Elephas maximus indicus: one gene and its partner. The protein of the gene in region 1 purifies or fractionates together with the protein of each later gene. This does not show direct contact. Links are inferred from orthologs where the notes say so. Each region holds a gene or a part of one and is shown in the gene's direction. Other genes may lie near its edges.

Region 1 (7,880 bases):
TACCAACTGAGATGTTTCAACCAACAGATGCGGTGCTAGAGGTGCTCACTCATCTCTGCCAAGAAATTTGGAGGACAGCTACCTGGCCAACTGACTAGAAGAGATCCATATTTATTTCTATTCCAAAGAAAGGTGATCCAATCAAATGTGGAAATTATCAAACAATATCATTAATATTACACACAAGTAAAATTTTGCTGGAGACCATTCAAAAGTGGCAGCAGCAATATATTGGAAGGGAACTGCCAGAAATTCAAGCAGGATTCAGAAGAGGACATGGAAGTGGAGATAACATTGCTAATGTTAGACGAATCTTGGCTGAAAGCAGAGAATGCCAGAAAGATGTTTGCCTGTGTTTTATTGACTACGCAAAGGCATTTGACTGTGTGGATCATAACAAATTATGGATAACGTTGCGAAGAATGGGAATTCTGGAACACTTAATTGTGCTCATGAGGAACCCATACATGGATCAAGAGGTAGTCATTTGAACAGAACAAGGGAATACTGTGTGGTTTAAAGTCAGGAAAGGTGTGCATCAGGGCTGTATCCTTTCACATACTTATTCAATCTCTGTGCTAAGTAAACAATCCGAGAAGCTGCACTATATGAAGAACGGGGCTTCAGGATTGGAGGAAGACTCATTAACAACCTGTATTATACAGATGACACAACCTTGCTTGCTGAAACTGAAGAGGACTTGAAGCACTTTCTGATGAAGATCAAAGACCACAGCCTTCAGTATGGATTGCACTTGAACATAAAGAAAACAAAAATCTTCACAACTGGACCAATAAGCAATATCACGATAAATGGAGAAAAATTGAAGTTGTCAAGGATTTCACTTTACTTGGATCCACAATCAACACCCATGGAAGCAGCAGTCAAGGAATCACAAGATGCATTGCATTGGGCAAATCTGCTGCAAAAGATCTCCTTCAAGTGTTAAAAAGCAAAGATGTCACCTTGAAGACTAAGGTGCATCTGACCGAAGCCCTGGTGTTTCCAATTGCCTCCTATGCATGTGAAAGCTGGTCGATGAATAAGGAAGAATTGATGCCTTTGAATTGTGGTGTCGGCGAAGAATTTTAAATATACCAGGGACTGCCATAAGAATGTACAAATCTGTCTTGGAAGAAGTACAACCAGAATGTTCCTTGGAAGCAAGGATGGTGAGATTACCTCTCACATACTTTGGACATATTATCAGGAGGGACCAGTCCCTGGAGAAGGACATCATGCTTGGTAAAGTAGAGGGTCAGCAAAAAAGAGGAAGACTCTCAAGGAGACGAATTGACACGGTGGCTGCAACAATGGGCTCAAGCAGAACAATGATGGTGAGGATGGTGCAGGACTGGGCAGTGTTTCGTTCTGTTGTGCATAGGGTCACTATGAGTCGGAACAGACTTAACGGCACCTAACAATAACAAATATTCATTGAGTTTATTTCCTTGAGAAATTGTTCAATTCCCTTACCCAGAGATACATAAATACGCTGATAAAATATAAATGTAATGTTCTGATACACGCCCTTTGTTGCTTTTTTGGAAGACGAATATAAAAACACACTCATTGTTGCAAAAAAGAAACATATTTTGCCCGATAAATAAATATTCAATTTTTCATCCCCTTAACGTGCCTATCACCTCATTTTTTTTTTATAGAGTTTTTTCACACATAGAGTAATATCAAGCAGTGTCTTGTGCAACGGACAATAAAAAATGAAACTCACTTGATACATAAATTAAAACTTTTTGTGTTAGATAAATATTGATATTTTCAGTATTTTTGGATGTTTGCTATGTTGGTATGATATTAAATTATTACCCATGTTAGTATTATATTAAATCTATGCTAGATTGAGTCCACATGTATGCCAAACATATTCTTAAAGTTCAAGTTAAAAATATTATTGTTTACAAAACTTAGGACGTAACTCTGTACATAAATGCTACACAGCTAAAAAGTAACTTGATTGAATTAATTGCAACGGTCGACTTATTCGAGTTTCCTCGCTTTTGCACGTCATCTGGGACTGGAGTTCCCATAGCGTTGTTTACCAGGATGTACATAAGAGCGTAAGAGCATACCCTTGTGTTTTTATCATGGCGAAGAGCAGTGCTGGCCCTCTTGACTGCAGTTGCTGGATCAGAGGGCATGGCTGTAGGAGACGGTTCTCTAAAAATGGATCAGAAACCTGTTGTCTATTAATATAATCCATCCTTGCCTAGTAACTGCTCATGCTGAATCCAGTTGCATACTGGGTGAATGTAGCAAGAGTTAAAACCTACCTCTTGTTTATTAGAAAAAAATAATACACTCCCAAGAGACTCACCAAGATAAGGAGTTTCAATTACATGAGAGGGGACTGTAGGAGACAGATGTCAATGAAGGTGTTGAAGTGGTAGGGGCCTCATAGCTTAAACAACCTTGCGTGTGGGCACCCTTCATAAACTTTATTTTCACCCGGCGCATTCTCACACACTGGAACTGGTGCCAGTCTCATTTAATGCCCTGTCAGTTCCCTTCCACTGTGTCACTCACTTTTCCTTGTGTCCTGTCTGCTTGGCATCTATAGCTGTTTGCTTTGAATAACTGGTGCCCCTGTTTTGTTGATGCCCTAAACACTCGCTTAACTTGGTTATGGTGTAATCCTTCCCTGCTGCCAGCAGTACATGCTCCCAATCCCTTCTCTGATTTGAGCATCTGAGAAGCCTGTACATGAAACCCCAGGACAATCTCACAACTCCTGCTCCTCCATAGACCTCCAGGTTCCTTCACCTAGAGCTCTAGAGCCTCAGGAATCCTCTTGCAGATCTCAGAATCACCAAGACCCGAGACAGAGTGAGACTGTCCTACCTTCTTTCAGTCACACTATCCCACAACTCTCCTCACCCTGCTGGCAAGTACATCTGCAGCCAGCCTTCTGCTGGTCCTCTGGGTCAGAATCAGGCACAGAGCTCTGTGACACCTGCCAAATAGCTCCCTACCACCCCAGCCTCGGCCTTAGGGTTAAAAATACGTCCTTCTCCCAGTCTTCCTTGAAGTCTGACCAAGCCCAGAGTCGGATGGACCTGCCAAGCTTATCCTTGCAAGATGGCACGCAGTCATGGGCACAGAGCCTGCCAGCCAGCGGGCTCCTGTGAGGAGCTCCTGACCTCCCCTTTCAGTGCCCTCTGCCCCTCCTCTTCCACGAGGAAGCCCAAACCCAAGGTTTTGTGTTTAGTCAGCTACCAGCTGACCCTTAAGATCTACTTTACTTTCATTTCAATTTGCCACGGCAAGTTCCCAAAGACCCAAGTGAAATATTTAATGGGGAAGTGGAGGGCCTGGCAGAGGTGTTTCTAAGCTATTAACAGGTTTGGCTTCCTTGGGGGCAGGGGAAGGGTACCCATCTCTCAACATTTCTCTCATCTTCTAATTCTTCTCCAAACACCTTCTTCTCCAGGACTCTGAGACATCCTGCCCAGTCTGTGAATACTTCTCCCCTCCCAGACACAGCTCCAAACAGGCCCTCATCTCCCAGGCATGGGTCAAGTCTGCCTCAACCTACGCCTACACGGTGGTGTGATCCTCCCTGCAGGTCCTTCCCCGCCACCACTCTCTCACCCACCCAGGTGCCCAGCATGATGCCTGACACCTGAGGACAGCTCCTTGTTGTTTAAGTGAATGGTCTCTTTTCACCTCTCCCTACCTGTTCTGCTAGTCAGCAAGAGTCTCCTCACACCCTCCTCCCCTCCTCCCTGTGGGTGTCCCCACTTATACCAGCTCCACATCCCTCTGCCCTCTGTTCTCCCTCTTCTAATCCTGCCCTGCTGAGCCGAGCTCATCTAACAATCCCAGCCACTGCTTTGGGGGCATAACAAGTATTAGTTCACCTAACCCTCACAACAAATCCACAAGGTAAAACCAAACCAAACCCCGTTGCTGTCAAGTCGATTCCAACTCATAGCAACCCTACAGGACAAACTAGAACTGCCCCATAGAGTTTCCAAGGAGCACCCACTGGATTCGAACTGCCGGCCTGTGTAGTTTGCAGCCGGCACTCTTAACCACTACACCACCAGGGTTTCCCCCACCAGGTAGGCACTACTATTAATCTTCATTTTGCAGATGAGGAGCCGAGGTACAAGGAGATTAAGCAGCTATATGGGGTCGGGCCTGGATTTGGACCCAGCCGGTTCTCCTCACCCTCTTAACCATCCCACCAAGTGGCCTTTCCCCACCCGCCAGCACCTAACCGCCCCCCTCCCCAAGAAGACCACTTGTCTGGGTGCTGCAGCGGAAAGGTTTATTCTGACATCCGGCGTGGAGTGAAGCAACAGTGCAGACATTGGCGGCTGCAGGCCGATGTGTCATAAGCAGAGTTTCGAAGGCTATAACCGTAAAGTCTCTGGTTCCTGCGTCCGTCATACCTAGGGTCAGCCCAGCTCGGGCGTCTGATTCCTTCCGAGGCTCTCTCCACACCACCGCACTGGGCAGAGACGTTTGGGACCCTCCCCTGGCTGGCAGCCTGAGGGGAGGAGGTGCCGCAGATCATCCAGGCAGCCCCAGGAGGCGACCCGCCAAGGCACTGCGCGCTCCTGTCCGCAGTCCGCAGATCCCGGGCGGTTGCTGCTCTCTGGCGGCCGGAGCTGGGAGCCCGGGGACCCGGGAGTCGTGCCTTCTCCGCTCCGCGCCCCCAAGGGCACCAACGAGTGACCGAGAGGCCGGAGAGAGGGCGGGAGGAAGCGGGACGCAGCTGAGGGAAGGGGGGAGGGGTCACGGAGAGGCAAGAGAGGGAGACAGGAGGGGGCGCGAGAGAAGAGGACTGGCGGGCGCACCCGCGGAGAGGCAGGGACGGCTATACCGGCCCCGAGCGCGCGCTAGCGCCGCGGCCCATCCGGACCCCGGCACGGCTGCTCGGCCGGCGCGCAGAGCCCCTTCTCTCGGGAGCGCAGCGTCCCCTCCCTCGGCGCCGGCCGCCCCCTCCTCCCTGCAGGCGCTGCCCCTCCTCCGTCCTGCCCCCCGCGCCCAGTTGGAAGCGCCGCAGTGGCTGCCGCCTGCACCGCCCGGCCCGGAGCTGCTGCTCTGCCCACTCGCCTGGGCGCGCTCGGAGAGCCGCGCGAGTCGCCGGCCCGGCTTCTGGGTCCGATTCTGCGGCTGGCCTTGGGGAGCCCGGTCGCCGTCCCGGCCGGCCCCGCTCCGCTCGGAGCAGCCGCGCCCGGCGTCCCAGGAACTTGGACCGGTCCCCGACGGAGCCGGCGCGTGCCGCTGGATCGGAGCCCTGCGGCTATGCTCGGTGCCTCCCTCCCTGGCAGCAGCACGCCCAGCCCCCGGGCCTGGCCTCCGACGGCCGCGCGTTGAGATGACTTTCCGCGATCTCCTGAGCGTCAGTTTCGAGGGACCTCGCCCGGACAGCGGCTCCGGGGCTGCCGGCTCAGGTGCCGGCTCGGGCAGCGCGGGCGGCTCGGCCGCCTCGGAGGGCCCGGCGGTGGGGGGCGTGCCGGGGGTCGCGGGCGGCGGCGGCGGCGTGGTGGGCGCGGGCGGCAGCGAGGACAATGGCAGCTCCGCCGGGGAGCCTGGGGGTGCGAACGGCGAGGTGAACAGCACGGCGGCCGTCGGGGGGCTCGTGGTGAGCGCGCAGGGCTTGGGCGTGGGCGTCTTTCTGGCCGCGTTCATCCTCACCGCTGTGGCGGGCAACCTGCTTGTCATCCTCTCGGTGGCCTGCAACCGCCACCTGCAGACAGTCACTAACTACTTCATCGTCAACCTGGCCGTGGCCGACCTGCTGCTGAGCACCACGGTGCTGCCTTTCTCTGCCACCATGGAGGTCCTGGGCTTCTGGGCCTTCGGCCGCGCCTTCTGCGACGTGTGGGCCGCGGTGGACGTACTGTGCTGCACCGCTTCCATCCTCAGCCTCTGCACCATCTCGGTGGACCGGTACGTGGGCGTGCGCCACTCGCTCAAGTACCCGGCCATCATGACGGAGCGCAAGGCGGCCGCCATCCTGGCGCTGCTTTGGGTCGTAGCCCTCGTGGTGTCCGTGGGGCCGCTGCTTGGCTGGAAGGAGCCCGTGCCCACAGATGAGCGCTTCTGCGGCATCACGGAGGAGGCGGGCTACGCCGTCTTCTCCTCCGTGTGCTCCTTCTACCTGCCCATGGCCGTCATCGTGGTCATGTACTGCCGCGTGTACGTGGTCGCGCGCAGCACCACGCGGAGCCTCGAGGCGGGCATCAAGCTCGAGCGGGGCAAGGCCTCGGACGTGGTGCTGCGTATCCACTGTCGCGGTGCGGGCACAGGTACCGACCGGGCGCACGGGACGCGGAGCGCCAAGGGCCACAACTTCCGCAGCTCCTTCTCTGTGCGCCTGCTCAAGTTCTCCCGCGAGAAGAAGGCGGCCAAGACCCTGGCCATCGTTGTGGGAGTCTTCGTGCTCTGCTGGTTCCCCTTCTTCTTCGTCCTTCCTCTTGGTGAGTGACCCCTTACCCACCAGCCCCTCCTCTCCCTCCCTTGAGACTGTGGCTTTGTCCTCCTCACTCTCCTCCCCCGACTTGGGTGACCCTCGACTCTCCGCCTTAACATAGAAGGTTGATTCAGTAGCTTCCCTGAAGCAGGGGTGCGTGCACCACTGTGTAGACAGAGGGTGAGAGGCTCTTCACGCTTGTGAGTTTTCTTTCGCAGGCTTTTTACTTTCCTGGCCTTCCCTGCCTCGTTGCTGTTACAAGCCCTGGGCGTGTTTTACCCTCCCGGCCCCTCTAAATATCAAAAAAAAAAAATCAAAGGTGCGTGGAAATCTGTGGATTCTGCCCATAGTATGTGGTCAGTGTGTGTGCTCACCTGCATACATGCAAACCCTGCCCAGATACAAATGGCAGAGCCCGAGACAGGAGCAGAGAGTGGGCAGACTCTCTATTCACCAAGCCCTTGCCAACCATCATGTACATCCGCAGACACCAGAAGCCACCTGCTTTCCCCCAGCACACATTCGGTTTGGAAGCTGGCCTCGTTCCTCCACCCTCCCCAGCTGGTGTTTGTGAATGCCCTTGGATCTCACTTCTGAAATCTCTTGGAGATGGGGGCCGGTGAGGATGAGAAGGAAAAGAATGGAGGCGGTTTATCACATGGGAAGTTAATGTTGCGAATTGTCATTTCTTTTATTGGTCGAGTCCTTTAGCTCCACTGAGGAACTTTCCTCTTTCTTCCAGGAGCTGCCCTGCAGTCCTGGGAGTCAGGCAGGGGCTTCCACCACCCCTGGAGGCCCCTCATGTGGGTCTTAAATCTGGGCCAGCACAGTGAGGAGAAGGGGAAAACAGCATCACTGGAGACACGTTTGCATCTCCAGGGTCACTTCACCCATGGCTGCAACCTCAGCCAGCTCAAGCCGGGGCCTCCCTGCGCCCCACAGGCCCCACACTGCGTGGCTGCAGCTGCGTCAGGAAGGGGAGAGTGGCCTTGCTTCTGCTCCCCTGCAGGCCCTCTCCACACAGCAGCCAGAGTGGCCTTTATACATTATAAATTAGATTCTGTCACTCCCTCACTGAAACCCCTCAATGCCTTCCCACTGCCCTGGAAACAAAATCCAAACTCTCTACTGTGGCCTATGAGATGGTGACCTTTAAATTTATTGTTCAAACCAAAATAGGGCACTAGGAATCTTTGTGCCGGGACCACAGGCATGAACCAGGACTGTGCAGGCAAACCCAAACAAGTGGTCGGAAGGCGCTAAGTGTGGCTGCCCCCCTCTGCCCTCATGGCTTCGCTGCCCTCCCTCTTGCTCACTGCACCCTCCATTCCCGCTAATTCTCATTAGGTCCCTGGCCTGTGGCCAGCTCGTGCCTATCTCCAGGCCTTTGCACTTGCTCTCCGCTCTGTCTGGACTGCCCTCCCCAGCTTTCTCC
Region 2 (8,023 bases), on another chromosome or scaffold:
GATACATTGGAAATGGAGGAAAATGAAGCTGAAGGGGCTGGCAGGACCTACCATTCTGCTGAGATTATGCTTGTCTCAAAATCAGAAAAGCTGGCCTCAGAAGGGTGACAGCTTCCCTAGGTGATAGTGACAGAACCAGGAGAACCACGTGAGATTCATAGAAAAGCTAAGAGTAGAGCAGTTTCCATAGAGGGAAGCTAAGTGGTTTAGAAAATTGTACAGAAAAGATAAGTAGATTTGGATATAGAGCCCTTAAGTCAACGTGTAGTGAGAGACAGAACCAGTTAGAGGTGGGCCTTGAAGTCTGTAGTTAAGAATTCTCATTCAGTGGAACACATAGTTGTGAGTCATTCACAGATCCAAAGTAAAAATGATTGTATACATAAGGGGCAGAAAAGACTGGATGTTGGGGAGGCCAAAAAACAAGCTATTGTGTAGGTTCTTGACAGGGTCCATTGATGGGTGTCAGGGGCTTTGTGAGCCCCCAAGGTTGAATGCATGTGAGTGTGCATTTGTCTGAGGAGAGCATCCACCACATACAGCTGATTCCCAGAGAAGTTCATGATCACCCAAATTGGCTATTGCATTAACCTACTCAGGAGAGATTGTGTAATTTCTGTGCCTGTCAAGAAAAAACACTGGTGATTTTCCATAGCTAAGTGAATTCAGTGAAACTAACCTTCTGCTTAGTATGTCCTTGCTAATATTTTCCTAAAAAGAAAGTCACAACGCTACAAAACTGTCACCAGCTGCTTCTCATTAGGAATGTGGTTAGCAGATGTGGTTTGTCATAGTCATAATGCATGAGATAGTTAATCCATTTTTGAGGATTTCAGATGGATAGTGATTTATCTTGGCGGGATGAATTTCTAAAAATGTGTTTGCATCAGCTAAAGGATAAATGCAACTTTTCCTCTTTCACTTCATGTTTGATGCTGGAGAAAAAATAGATTTTAGGGTATTTCTCCCTGAAGGCAAAGTTGTACTGTCCATTGAAAGGGACAGCTGATTTCAGTGTCTTCTAATTGAAGAACAGTTATACGTGGGTAATTTTTCAAAGTTGGGTATTGGCTATTTCACAGCTTATTTCTCCCTTTAGCCTCTTCTTTAATAGTAATTGAGTGGCTCTTGGTTTTTTTTCCTCTGGCATCTAGCCGCCTTTGTGGTAGTGACCTTCAGGCTTTTTCAAGGCTGCTATTTTGCCTGGGGCCCTCCTTCCTTACGAAATTACACAACACTCAAACCTTGGAACTAGCCCCAGACCCACTAATTCTTTCCTTTGGCGGACTCTTGGCAATATATATTCCCTTTCAGTTGAAGTGTAGCTTTATATGAGATCTGTTTGTCACTGAAATTAATTTGGCTCTTTGCCCTTTAATCCTGGAATCAAATGGCATTATGGCAGACTCAATCCTAGGTAAAGTGTAGACTCTCAAGAGTTTCTACCAAAGGTTTTATTGTCGCTACTGCTGAAGGTCGATAGGTAATAACAGCAACAGATACTTTTTATATGGCTGCCACTGTGGTAAGCACTTTGAATCCTCATCAACCCACTCAACCCTCACAACCACCCTTAGAGACAAGTTATCTGAATTTTTCCCAAGAAGAGACTAGGCCTATGACCTCAGCCTCTTGCCCATTGTCATATATTTGGTAAATGGCCAAACCACAATTTGAACCTTGTGCTCTTATTTACCATGCTATACTCTACATCCACTATGAGGGAGATGAAAAAAGGCCGCTCTTCCCACCTTCCCCTCAAACCATAGGGTTTAAGGAGGCATAGAATCAGAGCCTGAGTCACAGATTGTAAAATGAAATTATGGAACTGACAGAGTGAATCTAACTCCCTCATTTTAAATAGCAACGATCCCTGCCTCATTCTGAGAAATAGTAAGACAACAGTTTGAGCAGAGGAGAATAGATGTTGATAGGTGACAGGAATGAAAAGTTATTAAGAATGAACTCAGCCATTTGCTTTTTTCAGAGGTAGATAAAATAGCGTGCCTGTTTAAAGAATTTTCTGAGCTTGTCTCACTGTCCTCAAGAAACTGTGGAAACAGAGATGTACTCTTTACTTCAGATGTCATTATTCACAATAAGCGGATACTTCACTACTTGAGATTTCCTAGATGGTAATTTTCACTCTGCAAGGAACCAATAACCTTCAGAGGCGTTATTTGAAGATACTACATCACAAGAGGCACTCAATTTCAATCATTCACATGTTTAATGAGTTCCTTCTGTATGAGACAATATGCTTGGAATAGTGGGGTATAAAAATAAGTCAATGGGTGGTCCCTGCCCTCCTGTAGTTTATAATTTATTTGGGCACATGGGCCAGGCATAGGGGAAAAAATCATTCAAAGGAAAAATCCCAACCAACTGAGTAGTCAGGGAAAGCTGGGATGAGATCTTGCTATGAGGGAAAGAGGTCCAAGGGGACAAGAGATGTTTGGAAGATTCAGGCTGCAATGTGAAAAGGCATTGGGGAACACTGATTGGGTGGTGAGTTTGGCAAATCTGAAAGTAGTAATGACAATGTTGAAAAGTTAATTTGGGTTCTGTTGGAGGGTCTTATACCTTGGGAGTTGTATGGATAAGTTAAAAACATTTTTAAGGAAAAATCTCCATGTAATCCAAAAAGCAATCTCCATAACCTTCCTATCTACTCCCAAGGTTAAATATTTTGTTTTATAACTGGCTATCTTATATAAGTGCCCTCACTTACTTTTAGTTGGATGATCTATGACTTCCTCCAATTCTATTGACCAAAAAGGTCTTGATACTCTTGGAAAGAATTTCCAGCACTTCCCTTTGCTAATAAAGGCGTCCTCAAGTGCCCATCCCCTGGGTGATTACGTATGCAAGAGTTAAAAATAGTGCTCAGACTCTAAGGAATCAGGTGCCAAGCGTTCTCTATTAAGCAGAAATTTCACATAACTCAGGCCTCCGGGGACTCATGCCTCAACTGGAGCAGAGCCAGAAGTGTCTGTGACTGCAGGTGCACTTGGGCACATCAGGACCTGCTGGAACAGTAAGCTGGCCTCACTGCAATTGATTTTAGGAGAGGGCTGGAGGGTTGAGCTTTTGCTGACATTTGCAGCTTGGAAAATCCTACCCCCCTAATTCCAAAAAGGATTCTGCTCTAATGATTTTTCGGGAAGATACTTTTCTCATTTTGGATTCTTTCTTCAGTTGGGCTCTGGGTGCTTCCCAGCCTCTATTTTTGTTGTTTTAATTCCTGGTATGTGAGGTTTTTTGGAAGCTTCTGCCCACATATGAATGTGCATTTATAGAGTGGTGCATGAACACAGCTTATGAGCCTCAGCATGCACTTCATGAACAAGCAGGTGTACAGCCCCTTTTATAGAAATTGGTGCACACTCCCTCTGCTTACCTCTACTTCTTGAAATGAAAATGTGGGGTTTCACTTTTGATGCTGAAGGAAAGTTAGAGGGCACCTTGACCCCATGTTTTTAATGAAAGCTCTCTTTCTCAGCTGTGTGATTTCTGGGCTCTCATTTTTAATAGTCCAGGTATATAGTGAAAACACTGGACCAAGAGGCTGGGAGGCCTGAGTTGTGGTCTGTACTTCCTCACTGGGGACTTTGGACCAGAGTTTTTGGCTCTCTGGGCCTCAGTTTCTTCAGCTTTTTAGCCTATGAAGCTGGAAGAGCCTGTGGATTGAATCATTCGTGTCTTTGGATACAAGCGGTTGCAGGCTCTGCAGCGTGCACAGTAGTGGTTGTGGCTTTTGTCCCTGGAATGTCTGTGAATTGAATGGAAGCCAAAACTTACCTTGGAACTCTGGTGGCACAGTGGTTAAGTGCTACAGCTACCAACCAAAAGATTGTGAGTTTGAATCCACCAGTTGCTCCTTGGAAACTCTGAAAACTTAAGAGACCAAATTTTGCATAGTTTCTGAGGATGCCCATCTACACTTTCCCCAGCAGAAGGCCATGGCCCCGAGGCTAAGAAAGTCAGATCTACAAAGTCAAGTCCAAACTCTTCGTTGTTAGATTATATGAGGCTTTTCACGCTCACGCTCTCACCTCCACTGACTTCATATTGGAATCACGGCTTCTTAAATAACCACCATTCTGCAAATATCTTTGAGGCCTACCTATTGTGGCTACTGGGCTGAAGAAGACATGGCACCTTCTTGCATTACAGGCAAGTAAACTGGTAATTGCAAAGCAGAGTAACAAATGTTTAGGTTCCTGCCTCTGGACCTTTGGTAATTTTCCTCATGCTTGAGGGTTCATTCTCCATTGTCACCTCTGTGACGCCTACCCCAGGCTGAACCAAATGTTCCTTCCACTCTGCTCTTGGGGCGTTTCCTACATGTCACTAACCACATACTATCGCAACTAGCTGGTTGGTTATGGGTCTTCCTCTCCTCCTAGACCGCGAGCTGTCAGCTGTGGTATGTTTTATTCAGCTTATCTCCTGGACCTCAGAAGGTGTCCACGCACAGGGCGGAGCTATCAGTAAATACGGAATGAACCAATCAACGCAAGAATAAACATGCGACTCAGACCTTACAGGCTTACAAAGTACTTCTCGAAGCTGATGTTGCTTTCTGTGCCCAGGCAGCTCCTGGGGACTGCACGGTAGAGCTCAGGGGTTGAGGGGCGCTCGGGCTGGCTGCCCACGTCCGGTGAAGGGCAAGGGACCGGATTCCCGGCAACTTCTCACCTTCCGGAAGCAGCTCCGCCGGCCTCTCTCCGCCCCCACCCCGGAAGGTGGGCGTGGCCTCTCATGAATAATGAATCACCCCGGGCGGGGGAGGGGCCGGACCCGCCCCCTCGGGCGGGAAGGGGGAAGCGCCAAGGCTGCCTGACTGGAATGAGGGTAGCTGCGGCGACTGCGGCGGCGGGAGCGGGGCCGGCCATGGCGGTGTGGACGCGGGCCACCAAAGCGGGGCTGGTGGAGCTGCTGCTGAGAGAGCGCTGGGTCCGGGTGGTGGCCGAGCTGAGCGGCGAGAGCCTGAGCCTGACGGGCGACGCCGCGGCGGCCGAGTCCGAGCCCGCTCTGGGGCCGGCGGCGGCCGACTTCAACGGCCTCCCGAACGGCGGCGGAGCCGGCGACTCGCTGCCCGGGAGCCCGAGCCGCGGCCTGGGCCCCCCGAGCCCGCCGGCGCCGCCACGGGGCTCGGCGGGCGAGGCGGGCGCGTCGCCGCCCGTGCGCCGGGTGCGAGTGGTGAAGCAGGAGGCGGGCGGCCTGGGCATCAGCATCAAGGGCGGCCGCGAAAACCGGATGCCGATCCTCATCTCCAAGATCTTCCCGGGGCTGGCGGCCGACCAGAGCCGGGCGCTGCGGCTGGGCGACGCCATCCTGTCGGTGAACGGCACTGACCTGCGCCAAGCCACCCACGACCAGGCCGTGCAGGCGCTGAAGCGCGCGGGCAAGGAGGTGCTGCTGGAGGGTGAGCGGGGCCGGGCGGGCGGGACGCGGCGGCAGTCGGGCTCCTGGGCGCGCACTTTGTTTCTGCCACCCTGCGCCCTTGGCGGGGCGAGCTTGTTCCCTCCCCCGGGGCCTGCTTTCCTTCCCCTCGGCTTGTGGCCGGTCTCTACCACACCCCGTCTTCTGAGGGTTTGAATGTGGAAAAGCTGATGCTCCTTGCAGGAAAAGTTGGGCAGACGCCGAAGTGTGGCGTGCAGTCTCTAAGGGTAGACTCGGCTGCGTTTTAGTAAAAAGCTGCCGCGTCTGAAGCTCCCCCCTCTGCGCGATAAGCTGCCGCTAAGAGCTGAGGGAGCCCGAACAGCTCGCGTTTGCCTGCTGAGAAGTACCGAGGTGGCTCGCTCTTCACTCACCTCTGGCTCCCCCGGGCGGGCGGGTCTATAAAAAAAATCCATCCACACTGATACTTGGGCAAACCACCAAAAAGGCTGGTTAATGTATGGGAATTTAACCCATCGTTGGCTCTCAACAATAACCTAAGGCGATCGTAGCACTTCATTGAAGCCAGAACGCTGAAACAGCAAGTTTGGTGTGGTTAACGAGCCTTGTTTAACAGTGGAGGCTCACGTGTTTGAACAGTGACTGCCAAACAGAGTTTTGTCCCTTTTGCAAGAGGCTGGTGCCAGCTCCCTATCACTCACAAGCATGCTGCTTTAAGACTATGAAGCTTTTTATGAGCGACTTGAAATGGTAAATCACAAGATATATTTGAATGGCCCGGATTATTCTTTACCTTGATTATACGTGTAGGTCTGTAACCTGGGGCTTTTATGATGAATTGATGGAACTATGGCAGAATTAAATCTCATCTTTTATAAGGACCTATGCATAGTGGAGATGATAAGAGTATTGTAAATGTGATTTGAAAACCCAGTTACTTAAATTTTTGAACAATTGGCTTTGTTTCACTTGTGATTCAGTCATTGAAGAAGCACTTATTGCCACCCCTGTAGAAGCGAATATGAAAGTAGAAGATGCTGTCTCTACATGGTCCCTGGTTGGGGAAATGATAGAAACATGAAAAACAATTTACAGTGAGGAAAAAAAACTAAGTTCTTGATTGTGTAGTGCAAACTACATATAAATCCCAAACCAAAACCCATTGCCATCAAATCAATTCCGACTCATAGCGACCCTACAGGACACGGTAGAACTGCCCCATAGAGTTTCCAAGGAGCATCTGGTGGATTTGAACTGCCGACCTTTTGGTTAGCAGCCATAGCGCTCAACCACTATGCCACAAGGGTTTCCATATAAATCCCAGGGGGATGCAAAATTAGAAAGTAGTGGAAATGGGAACTAGTGAGGGAGGTCTTCATCAAGGAGCTGAATCTTGAGCCAGGTCTCCAAGGAAGCAATGGACTTAGGCAGAGATGAGTCAGGATGGTATTCCTGGCAGAGGAAGAACAGAAGAGAAAGGATGAGGTGGGGCGGAAGCAATCAGACTGAGAGGCTAGGAGTCCAGCTTGGTAAAATGATTTTCACTCTTTTCCAAATCTGTGTGTGACTATTTGAGACAGTATTAGTTTGCAAGTAAGTGATTTAATATATTCCAGTTGTGAAATTTAAGTGTCCTACCTTTATAATATTCTATTTATAAATCCTATTTATATCCTACTTATTAGGTGGGGCTAAAAGAAATTTAAAAATTAGTGTTAATAAAAGGGATAAAAGCACAGATTGTGACTTGAGCAGTGTGTGAAAAAATTTTTTAATCTTAAATGAGTACCTTGAAATTGGTCAAGGTAAACATTTGGTTATAAATTCTTAGAGGCAGAATACTGAATTTAGTACTATTTATACTGAGTGGTGATGAGCAGTTAAACCCTTCATACCATACTTTTAAAAAACAAAAAATAGTTTTTGCTTATAGTTTGAACCTGGTATTCATACCAGTAAAATGAAAAGTATTTAGTAAATGTTACCTGGTATTCATTAACCTAAAATAGGCACATGTACTTTTAGAAAGAGGGTTTACAAATGGCAGTGTAATAATATATTTACTAAATGCCTCTTTATCAAACACACAAGTTCTACTTTATTTTCCCATTTGGTAAAAGACAAGCAGTTTTTGTCCTTATAGGTGTAGGGAATATGGTAGGTTTATGGCATTGCATTTTTAAGCCAAGGGGAATCAAAAATAAAAGTACTCAAAATATGCAAAATCACTGAGAACAGTATTTTAATTAAAACAAACAATATTTAAAATCAAGAGTTGGTGTTCCATCCACTTTTAAAAAGATAAATTTAATGCTTGACCCTTAAAGTTTCCAAACCCCATTGTCCTCTTACTAGATGTCTCAAAACTTGGAAAACTGCCTTAACATACAGTGGTGCTCTTTTGTGGTATGGGCAGGGAATTCCAGGCATGCCCTTGCCACCTCCATGCCAAGGAAAACTGTAGTCTCTGGTCCTTTTTTTTTAAAAGAACCTTTTTTTAAAAGGGACCTATTTTATCTGAAGGATATGTTGAGGTTGTTCATTCACTAATTCATTACACATTTATTCAACATCTACCATGTCCCAGGGTTTATAGGATTTTTTCATTGGCTAGGTT

The links. Proteins that work in one complex are often made in the same cells at the same time.
Region 2: the proteins of ADRA1D (region 1) and SNTB2 purify together in Homo sapiens (tandem affinity purification; 4 studies listed by BioGRID and IntAct, with this or other methods). This does not show direct contact. The link is inferred for Elephas maximus indicus from reciprocal best matches to the Homo sapiens genes ADRA1D and SNTB2.

What each region holds. Positions count from the first base shown.
Region 1 is NC_064843.1:42,883,518-42,891,397, reverse strand, and holds the start of ADRA1D (alpha-1D adrenergic receptor), read left to right. Parts: upstream 1-4,770; 5' UTR 4,771-5,347; coding exon 5,348-6,452; intron 6,453-7,880. UniProt on the Homo sapiens protein: This alpha-adrenergic receptor mediates its effect through the influx of extracellular calcium.
Region 2 is NC_064839.1:35,419,101-35,427,123, forward strand, and holds the start of SNTB2 (beta-2-syntrophin), read left to right. Parts: upstream 1-4,806; 5' UTR 4,807-4,851; coding exon 4,852-5,431; intron 5,432-8,023. UniProt on the Homo sapiens protein: Adapter protein that binds to and probably organizes the subcellular localization of a variety of membrane proteins. May link various receptors to the actin cytoskeleton and the dystrophin glycoprotein complex.